3 linked regions of the Tribolium castaneum genome follow. The protein of the gene in region 3 purifies or fractionates together with the protein of the main gene of each other region. This does not show direct contact. Links are inferred from orthologs where the notes say so. Each region holds a gene or a part of one and is shown on either strand. Other genes may lie near its edges.

Region 1 (3,755 bases), on a different chromosome or scaffold from region 3:
AAACATGTGTTTCTTCATTTTTTACCGAAGGCCTAAATAGTACGATGGCGAGCAAAAAGTTTCGGACACATTTGACGTTTCGCTGACATAAACGTGTGTAATTCCCTATCCTTCTTGACAATGAAATGTTAAAAGTGCCCGAAATTTTTAGACAAGACCGGAGTCAAAATTTTAGAAAAACTTAACATTATCTCCGTTAATAAAAACATTTTATTAAGACGATTTAGGCTAAAACTATGAAGAATAATGCATAGAGCCTCGTGTTAAAAGAAACATCTCAACTTCGTAAACACCTTGTATATCTTCAAAAATGTCGAATTTTCATATTGAACCCTCTACAAGTGGAATTTCCAAAAAACCTAAAACAAGTTTTTCATTTTTAAGCAAAAGCCCAAATACTAATTTTCCATAGTTCAAATTAAAAAAAAAAAGATTTTTTATATAAAATTTAGCCCCTGTTTAACCCCCTTGAAGGTAGAATTTTCAAAAACCTGAGAGCTTCATTAATAGTCGTAAAGTGCTTTTGTTCAGGTACAACTATCATTTGTTCTATTAGGTGACGGGATGAATATGATTCTAGTCTACTTGCTATTTTAAAGTTATAGTCAAATTAAAACTTTCTGTGTTTCCGTGTTATTTTGTGTTAAATTGGTTAATTTTAAGTGTGCAGTCATTTCATTAAATACATCAAAACCATATTTCTAAAATTTTCATATCACTTGTTCTCCGTTTCAAAACTATGGAAATACCAACGTCACATTTTCTCTTCTTATAAATTATTCATTTGCACTTCAAAAAATTAATAGCTGTCTCATTTCAGTTCTTAGTAGAAAATGGCAACAGCGCCTTTGCATTTTTTTTAGTAGAATAGAGCACAAATTGAGAGTTTCTGTGAAATAATTCAGTGTTAAATAGAATCCCAGCGATAGAGCCAAGAGAATTCAAAGCGAAAATTAGTTTTAAAAATTGACAGCTGTTGCTAAATGTTTGAACCGGACCATAATGCAATTTATATACTTATTAAAACAAATAATTCGGTAAAATGCAACGGCGGCACTTCCGTAGTTTTGAAACAGAGAGTATCCATCTATGTTTTTTATAGACACTCTGTATAAAAATAATGTAGATGTCACTTGTTACGTGATTGGCAAAGTTCTTACATACCACAAAATAATCTAAAATTAGTGAAGATCTACGTTTTTGTTGAATGAACTATTTTACAAAAAGTTGTAATTTTACTTATCATAATACGTGACGTAAAATATTAGCGCAGTATCTAAAAAACAGTTGTTAATTTTACACAACTAAAATATGCCAACATGCGCTTGGTGTATATTTACAACCTTGTACTCGAGACAACAACTGTAATAACACTTTTTGTGTAATACAACGTTAATGAAACCTGTTTTAGATCAGGGCCTTTTGCTGGAAACGGCAAGAAAGGCTTCAAGCACCATTTAATTGTAAAAATATATTTTTTTGTTGACATTTGAACAGTTTGTGCAACGTGTGAAAAACAAATCACAGCCAACTATCACTCGCACGATCGTGACAAGTTGGCGTTTTTTACAAACACTTGCGTCCACTTTTCTTGTTTATAGCTCAAATGAGCACTAGTTTGAACACAATTTGTGTATTTCTGAGCCGCCTTACCTTCCTTGCCATGATAAAATCGTTGTTATAAAACTGCAGCCCCCTCCTTGCCTCATCGGCGGTGGCGCCCTCTGCCCCGCTTTCGCCTCCGAAGCTCGATTTTCGTTTCTTCGCTTTTTTCTCGTCGATTTTCACGTCGTAATTTTCCAGCTCGCTCTCGGCTGTAACAGGAAAACTCGTCATTTTGGGTGATTTTTTCGGCGTGCCCTTGACTTTGTCTAGCGTTTTGCGTCTGTTTGTTGACAGATTGGTGTCTAGCTTCGCCTCTTTAGACAAAGCGAGAATGGATTTGAGCTCGCGGCTGGTTTTGGGGGTGCTGGTGTCGTCAGGGGACTCACTTGGCGGTGGGGGCTCCTCGGGCGGCGTTGGGGGCTTGTCGTCGCCGTTCTGGGGCTCCTCGGGAGGTGGAGCGGGCGGTTCGGCTTCCGGCGGCGGCGGCGGGGGCGGCGCAAGGTCGAGCTGCTCGCTTTCGGACATTGTCGTGGGTTATAGTGATCTAGCAAATGCACAGTTGGTATTGTTTGGTTACAAACGACTTGAACTCGATGCACAATGGAAGGGAAATGCGCGTTTTACAGCCGTGGAAAGCGGTTCATTGCGGGCTCGGAGGAAAATTCGGCCACTTTTCAGCACTAAAGCCGGCTTTCGGCAACTCGCTACACTTCTTCGCTCTTATTTACATAACCTAGAATAAAACCCTTTCTGTTAGCTCTACACATGTTTGGAGCGACTGACTTGGAAAACATCGTCGTAGCAAGGGGTTTTACTCACCGTCTAGCTTAATTTTCATTGGAAAAGCTCATTATTGATGAAAAATCAGCATTATCGATAGTAGAGAATGCATCACATTCACAACACTTCCACTGTATTTATAATATTTGCCGTTGGGGGCGCTGATGTTAATGTAACTTGACTGGAGTTCAGCGTTTGGTGTAGGGGAGAGGAAGGAAAAGTGGGTCACATGGTTTTTTCTTGAAACTTTACGTCACGGCTTCACATCGTGTCTGACGTAGGTATCACGTGACACAACCTTTGAAAAAGTCCCCAGTTGTTACTGCATATACTTGATTTTAATAATATTTATTTAGTTATAAATTGCATATGCCTTAGAATTAAAATTAAAAGAAAATTTAAGAATTCTGTGTTATAATTTATAATGATCCGAGGGATAAACAGCAGATCTAAACTTAAACACCATACTTCCTGTACCTTGTGCAAACGCCTTAGCTTTTATACCTCTGCTGTTAGCTACCCTTATTTCAAAATTTTAAATGAAATCCCCTACGTTTTGTAACAGTTTTGAAAACTTGCAAAAAACCTTATCAAACCGTGAAAAAAGATTATCGATTCGTTTATATATTGGGGGATGTTTTATTTTTGCAATTTTGAACTCTAATAGTAGTACTACATATCTGATTTAGAGTCAATTTAATTTAAACAAAAAACTAGTGGGTTACTGTGAAGGGAAATTTCAAAACAAACTCCAAGTACCTACTCGTCAAAAACTACCCTTAATCGATATGCTCCTTTGTTAAATTAAATTGGTTTAAGAATTAAACGTTTTAGGTTTAGGTTTTTAAAATAAAACCACTCCTAACTCAAAAACGAAATATAAATCTTCAGTTTGTTTTATTTACACAAGAGCATTAGAAATCAGGTGACATGCGTCTTAACTTTTGGGCTTGCGCAGTGGTGTAAATTTATAGATAAAGGTAAACTCCCAGTACATCCCCGAAATCCCTGTAAATCCTTAAACTTGCACACCATACATCCACAGCTGTTTACAGGTCGTAATGGTTATAAAATAATATAATCAATTTTTATGTAATGTAGAGTCACAAAATATGTATTATTACAAAAAATCATCGATAAACACTTTCTCATGTTTTTTAACAGTAGGTATAGAGAGAATTATTATTGTAAAAATAGTAAGTCCTGTTAGCCTTTTTCAATATTATGTTTTCGCCTAAGATTCCGCATCCAATACCCTTTATGCTTCGTCCTAAACTGACAAACATTATTTTCTTCCAAGCGAAATTGTGGAGATATACTAAAGTAATATTTCATGACAACAATGCAATGGGGCCAGAAAATGATTAGTC
Region 2 (3,253 bases), on a different chromosome or scaffold from region 3:
ATTTTAAATCCGTATTAAATGACTAAAGTCATGTTAAATGTGTCCCAAGACAGTTTTTGTTTGTTGTGTAATTAATTTTAGTGGAATTTCGAGTAATTACAAAGGCGGGATTCTAATCAAGTGTGTGTGGCATGGTGGCAGCCCTGAGTCTAAAGACGCTTGCTTTTTATGACAAAAAAGTTAACATGGTGTTTGTGTTTAGTTTTAAAAAGTGTTTAAAATCGGGAAAAGTCTAATGAATCAGTGTTTACATAGTGTCATCGTGGAGGTAAGCACCAATTTTGCCATTTTTACAACAAATATTGTGATGAAACTCGGACAGGAATACCAACAACGGTACTTAAATATTCAACATTAAAATAGATTATGGTCTCAAAAAGTTTATAGAAGCGGGGTCCACTTGTTCTATAATAAATTTCAGCATAAATGTGTAATAATTACACGTCAGAACGGCGTAGACGGGATTTAAATTGCGTGCGTGTGGCAACTCTGTGTCTAAGACACTTGATTCTTTTTTAAATAAAACGCAATCATTTTTTTGAAAAATTATATTGATATTAACAATAATTGCATCAAATCCATTGAATACAACTTGTATGCAAATCCATACAATAATCGCCTTAAAATACAACTTCTATATCAGTAGCAACAAAAACCAGCAACTCATTAATTAATAATGACTCGTTACATTAGTATAGAAAAACACAAAACGGTGAAAAAAAAGTAAAAATTATTAACCATATTGCATGATCATTACACTACACCTTTTTAAAAATACCGTATAATTTAACAATATTTATATTTATCGAAGATATTTATTTAAAAATTAAAACCCTATCTAAACCGCTGCAATCTGCTACATAAAGTCGTCGTAATCGTCATAGTCGTTAACATACGCTGACAAAGGCTGCAAAAAAAATTAACCCAAACACTTGTAAAACCACAACTTACATTTCCATCATCCAGTCGTAATTTAGCCTTGCCTTTGCCTTTGTTTTTCTTCGATTTCTCGCCTTTCTCGATTTTTTGTTTCTCTAGGTATAAATTATCTAACGTATTTTTAATTTTCTTAATATCTAATGAGGACACTGCAAGAACATTCATCATTAACGCTGTTTTAAATTAAAACGAGAGACGTACAAGTGGCACACAGATTTCGTAGTAAGTTTTCGGTGAACACCGGATACTCTGTGCTTTTAGCTAGAGGTTGGAGCTTCTTAGAGAGAGCGTCTGTAAAGTCCTGAAACTCTTCTTTAGTAGTTGGCAGCGTGAGTCCGTCTAAACCTGAAATGTTTGTGCTATTGGTGTCGCCCCCAAACGTCGTTTCTAGCGCTATTTTCAAGTCCGATTCCTTCTGCATCCTGAGCTTCTCCTCCGGGGAGATTTCCTCCTCCTGTTGCTCCCTCAGCCTCCGCTCCATTTCTTCCTTCCTCTTTCTCTGAATAAGGAGAAATTAGATTTGTCACAACTATTGCGATACCCACTTCTTTCTCTGCGATTTTGTCAGCGATTGACTGCTTCTTGGGCTTGGGTTTGGCCTCCTCGGCAGGCGCCGCTTCCACCTTCTCCTCCTCCTCATCCTCCCAGCTTTCCTGCAGGAAAATGGTAAATTTTTGGCAGGAATTCACTCATTTTACCTTGACGTTGTCGTCTTCGTCCTCGCCTTCCCATTTGTTGGACGCAACCACAGGTGTAACAGATGGAGGTTCGAAGTTATCGTCGTCTGAAACAGCCCCATGTCAAATTTTCGCTCAAGTAGTGAAAGAATTGACTAAATTTTTACCCCACGATTCCATATTGGCGAAAATACGGCCGAAATTAGCACAAAACGACCTCAACCTCGAAATTCACGTGTGCTGAATAACGTGCAACTGCACCAGAAACCGCCAGATGACACTGTCAAAGTGTCACCAAACCAAACACTATCTTTTCTCGAAGCTTCCACAAGTACACCGATTTGTAGATGTATCAAACAATACGTTTCGGCTTTTTATGTCTCTTGCAAGATGAAAAGTCAGCGAAATCAGGCGAAGTTGAACAATTCACGAGCGAAAATAGCCCTCGAACACCCATCTCACCCTTGACAGAAACCAACTACGCCTGCCAACCGGCACACAATTAAGGCACCAAATTACAACCAAAGTGCAAGTTTTACAGGCTATTTAACGCCAAAGATTTTAAATAATTTGAAATTATCCTTTTGGGACAGTCATAAAAAGTTTTAATTAGGACGATTGGCCATAAATTGCTTTTTCACCGCGTTTTTCATCATTGAACAATAGTTGGCGACACTTGCTGTCATTTGACTTGTCAATGTGCGTCGTTTTACGTTTTTTAAACTCGTTGGAAAATGTTAAAATAGTGCGTGAAAATGGTCGTGGGTAACACTAAGGTGGTCCAGGTGACCAACATAGCCCCCCAGGCCACCAAGGACCAGATGCAGACGCTGTTCGGCTACTTGGGTAAAATCGAAGACATTCGCCTGTACCCCACGATTCGAGACGTCTCCTGTCCTGTCCAGTCCCGGATTTGTTACGTTAAATTCGTGGATTCCAGCACGGTAGGTGTAGCCCAACACATGACAAACACTGTTTTCATCGACCGGGCCCTAATTGTCATCCCTGTGATCAACGGGGACATCCCCGACGAGTACTACGCTCTGGAGATGACCCGTAACGGGACCATTGTCCCCGGGTTTAACGTAAACGAGCCAAAGTTGCCCCCACATGTCTCCAATTCGTTCCAAGGCACAGGCGAGGAACGCGTTGTTGTCACAAATGACCCCCATTTGACTGACAATGGCTGCGCCCCCTATCCCCCTTTGCCGGCCAAATACGACTCGATCAAAGTCGAGGAGACTCGTCGAACGGTCCAAGTGGTCAATATTGACCCCGCCATACCCACAGATGAGATAATCCAGTATTTTTCACAAGCCGGTGAAGTGAAGTATTTGAGAGTGTGTGAGTGCCCCAACGACAACACCACGCACATTTTGATCGAATTCACGGAACAGCCAAGCGTCGTGAACGCCATGAAAATGAACGGTGAAGAGTTCAAAGGCAAGCCGCTGGAAATCATTCACGCCACTCAACCAATCATGAAGCCCCAAGCCAAAAGTAACGAAGCCGCTCAGAAGGAAATTGAAGAAGCAATGTCTCGCTTTAAAGAGGCTCAAAACATGATCAATGCCTCGATTGAGCCAGTTATCGGAATGCTAACTAAAGATAAAAGGAGCTCGCGACGTTCCCGCTCA
Region 3 (3,755 bases):
AGTTTGGCTGCTATCAAGCAACGGTCCCCTATAATCGCCGGCAACTTTGCCGTTTGGGGCGGCATGTTCTCCACAATTGACTGCGCCCTAATCCACATTAGGAAAAAGGAGGACCCCTGGAACTCCATTATAAGTGGGGCCGCGACTGGGGGCATCCTCGCGGCGAGAAACGGGCTCCCGGCCATGGCCGGGAGCGCCTTCATTGGGGGCGTTTTGTTAGCTTTAATTGAAGGAGTCGGGATTTTGTTCACTAGGTTGTCAGCGGAGCAGTTCCAGCCGCAGATGCCCCCCATGGAGGACCCCTCCCAGCTGAGGGGGCAACAGAACGGGGGCTACTCGTTCCAGTAGGCGCGCGTGTGTTTGTAGATAAATTTTTGTTTAAGGCGTAAATATAAGTTTATTTTGATCTGTGTTTTATTTATGTAATGGGTCAAATAAAGATTCTTACGAAAAACAGAAAATTTTATTTGATAACATGCGAATTCATAACTTAGTCTTGGTTGTGATTACCTTAAGTAAAAATACAGAACCTAGGTTTGCTTCCTATGTTTTATTTAAAATGTGTTATTTATACATCTTAGATTACGCTGTGTGATTGAAAAATTCAGACTTTTGACCACTCTATTTACTAATTAAGCTCAGGCATGACACACCAACTCATCTGAATTTTTTAATCAGTTATTTACAAACTTGAATGCTAGTTAATTTTACACGAAACCGGTGACGCTTCTAAATTAAACTATCCTTACATTTATAAAAACAAAACTGGGAAATTTATTATACATTGAACCCTATTTATAAAAATGATGGAATTTTTGCACATTTTTAACCTTATGCAAAGTTAACGCCATACAAAAGTATGAAAGAAAATAATCAAGATTTAATTTCATACATACAAGAATACACAAATTTGGGGTAGAAATAAATTAAATCAAATGTATACACCTTTTAAATTAACGTTTACCATTATTAAAGTTCAAACTTCTCAGAGGCGCCTTAAAAGTCGAGGCTGCTTGCTGTTGCAACTGGTAAGCAAGGGGATGAATTTTAAAACCAAATAACCTGAAATCATTTGTTGAAGAACAATTCTAAAAAAATCAAGTGAGTCTAAATAAAAGCGGGGTCAAGACAATGCTTTAAAAACAACGAAATAAAAAAATGACTAATTTTTCGTTTCGTGTAAAGTTATTGAGGATTATTATACGTAACATCCCAAAAATTCCGAAATGAAGTAGGTTTTGACTTCTCAGTTGTCACTTGATAACTGACAATATTAAATTCGCCAAGCACTCTTGACCAGACTTTCAATTAGACTCACGCCAGTTCGGCTATACCTAGGAACAAATTGATTTGTTGGACGCTTTGGCCTGTATTCTGGGTGCACCATGAAGAGCATGTGAGGGAAACCTGTCCCAAAATAGGCCCCATCTGTATGGTGGTGCCTTGAAGACTTTGGTGTGTACACATCCATACATTTGGGGCAATATGACTTGACCATTGCCTCCCCAGGTACATCAGACAGCCCTAAAGCACAAACCATTACCCAAAAAAATACCAAAAGTGTTGGGGTTACCCAAAGGCAGCATTGCCTGCGATTCGCAGTAAACTCGTGGACAATACCCAAAATCCCCAGACTGGTATTTTTCAATCATTTGGGCGATCCCCCGATTTGTTAAAATGTACCTAGCGTGTATTAACCCATAAAGCATCTCGGCCGCTTGCTCAATCAGGTCGGATTGGTTCGGATTATCGTCAAGTTCATCATCTAAAAAGCCGAGTTAAAAAAATGTGAAACCAGGGATGGGTTCAAAATACCCGGTTCTAAGTCTAGTATCATATCAAGAGCTTGCCTGTAGTGCGGAACTTGCTCATTCAAGCCCGTCAAGTTAAATTTGTCCTGTATATAATCCTCATCCACCTGCAAATACACTCAAAAATCTCGTCTTTAAAACAGGCAAATTCATTTACTTCGCAAAAGAATTCATTTCCTCTAAGTCCGCAAAACCATGAAATCCACGAAACCTCCTCTGAGCTGCTCATTTTCCTAAAACATTTCCGATTTATTTAGAAAATTGGAATTTTGAGACGGTTGTGGCTGTCCAACCCTATGTTTAGATTACGTTTAATGACATTTGTGACACAACTACGACGTTAATTTCCCATTTTTGGGCTTAGAAGGGATGTGGAGGGTTGGCAAATGACGAGATTAGGGCTAAATTGTGATCGGGGAAAGAAATATTTGAGAATTTTACCTCTTTGTACCTTGATTAGCCACGCTTACGCTACTTCATCTACGCGAAAAAAGAGTTGATGTTGGGCTCATCTAGCGGAAAGTGACGGCATTAAATGACAGCTTTAACCGCTAAGTTTGAAAATTACAAGTGGGATTTTTTAACTACAGTTAAACCTCAGAACGGCGTGCACAACTTATCACACACGCAAACGGGGTTGCATCCAAGAAAAAATCAAAAATAACTCACCCTCGCGCTCACCCTGTATTTTTTTCTATCCATACAGTAGTATTAATTAATCAAAAATATTCACTTATAAAATGTTTTTTTTATTTTCAATACAATGTACCGTTATCAAAATTTCATATCAACTTCATTAATCAACATATTATGTAATAACTTTTGCACTTTTGCATTCATGTGTGTCTTAACTTATTAAATGAGACTTTTTCCAAGATTTTTTTCAACTTGGCATTTTCAAAATAGGCAGTTTAAGACTCCGCCCGGCATTATAAATCTTCTACAATCTTCTACATTAATGTATTACTTCTTTTCAAACCTGCTAAGAGCGTTTTTTAACATCAGCAATTCTTCTTTCTCCAAAATTATTATTATTATTATTATTATTATTATTATTATTATTATTATTATTATTATTATTTTTATTATTTTTATTTATTTTTTTGAGCTCATTAGGATAGCTTTTTAGCTGCTTATTAAAGTTTTTTTTGAAAATGTTCAGCACGTTTGTTGCAACTTTTCGAAAAGTGTGGATGTGTTTCCAATAAAAATCTCTGTATAAACACTATAATTTTTTTCTGAAAATAAAAATGACCGATTTGCGCTCCGCTCTCTAAACATAGTCAACCATAAATAATTTTCTTTTGATGACATTATGTAACCCAAAACCGTGAAAACTAGATAAAAATAGTGAAAATCGGATCATTTCCCTATTTTTAGTTTGCGCAGACGGCCGGTCTAGTCGAAGGCTTTCCTAGGCGCCGCGACGTCGTCACCCGAATTATTAAGTGACATTTAATTCCATTTGAACCGGACAATAAACTTTTAACCGCCTATTGTTAGTTGAAAAGTGAAAACCCAATCTACTTTTAGAAATCTGCTTGCACAAGTGGGACGTGCTAGTTGCGGTTTTTGAAGACTGTTGACTCATAAATAAATTCTGGCTCTTTTGTTATCATTATTTAAACAAAGGCTAAATTACACCAAAATGTAGTAATTGGTTTATTGTGATTGTTAATTGCGAGTCAAGGTTGTAGCAGATTATTTATTGTTCGGCTTCATTCTCTTGTGCGGGAGAGTGTTGTAAACAAACAAGTGGTTATAATACATTGCATTTTCTTCCACGGTGTGTTTAGTTAATTGGAAGGTTGTTGTCGCTTGTACTGTAATTGCAGTGTTAGTGCGACGATGTTTTTCTGAAGCTGAGTGGGTATGAAAGACGGCAGGAAATTACAAAAATTAATTCAATGTCAGTGAGACGATGACGCTCCACATCTAATTTTT

Evidence for each region.
Region 1: the proteins of CkIIbeta (region 3) and Zmynd8 purify together in Homo sapiens (affinity purification with mass spectrometry; 3 studies listed by BioGRID and IntAct, with this or other methods). This does not show direct contact. The link is inferred for Tribolium castaneum from reciprocal best matches to the Homo sapiens genes CSNK2B and ZMYND8.
Region 2: the proteins of CkIIbeta (region 3) and eIF3j purify together in Homo sapiens (co-immunoprecipitation; 3 studies listed by BioGRID and IntAct, with this or other methods). This does not show direct contact. The link is inferred for Tribolium castaneum from reciprocal best matches to the Homo sapiens genes CSNK2B and EIF3J.

What each region holds. Positions count from the first base shown.
Region 1 is NC_087398.1:14,045,712-14,049,466, reverse strand, and holds the start of Zmynd8 (MYND-type zinc finger-containing chromatin reader ZMYND8), read right to left. Parts: upstream 2,641-3,755; 5' UTR 2,425-2,640; intron 2,352-2,424; exon of another isoform or gene 2,339-2,351; 5' UTR 2,131-2,338; coding exon 1,654-2,130; intron 1-1,653. UniProt on the Homo sapiens protein: Chromatin reader that recognizes dual histone modifications such as histone H3.1 dimethylated at 'Lys-36' and histone H4 acetylated at 'Lys-16' (H3.1K36me2-H4K16ac) and histone H3 methylated at 'Lys-4' and histone H4 acetylated at 'Lys-14' (H3K4me1-H3K14ac).
Region 2 is NC_087396.1:21,286,988-21,290,240, forward strand, and holds eIF3j (eukaryotic translation initiation factor 3 subunit J), read right to left. Parts: upstream 2,112-3,253; 5' UTR 1,797-2,111; coding exon 1,784-1,796; intron 1,724-1,783; coding exon 1,638-1,723; intron 1,593-1,637; coding exon 1,485-1,592; intron 1,439-1,484; coding exon 1,141-1,438; intron 1,089-1,140; coding exon 952-1,088; intron 908-951; coding exon 857-907; 3' UTR 613-856; downstream 1-612. Other genes in the region: Srp54 (probable splicing factor, arginine/serine-rich 7), read left to right, coding at 2,372-3,253. UniProt on the Homo sapiens protein: Component of the eukaryotic translation initiation factor 3 (eIF-3) complex, which is required for several steps in the initiation of protein synthesis.
Region 3 is NC_087397.1:979,794-983,548, reverse strand, and holds CkIIbeta (casein kinase II subunit beta), read right to left. Parts: upstream 2,397-3,755; 5' UTR 2,253-2,396; intron 2,045-2,252; 5' UTR 2,041-2,044; coding exon 1,969-2,040; intron 1,919-1,968; coding exon 1,816-1,918; intron 1,766-1,815; coding exon 1,574-1,765; intron 1,525-1,573; coding exon 1,335-1,524; intron 1,063-1,334; coding exon 954-1,062; 3' UTR 450-953; downstream 1-449. Other genes in the region: mitochondrial import inner membrane translocase subunit Tim17-B, read left to right, coding at 1-348. UniProt on the Homo sapiens protein: Regulatory subunit of casein kinase II/CK2.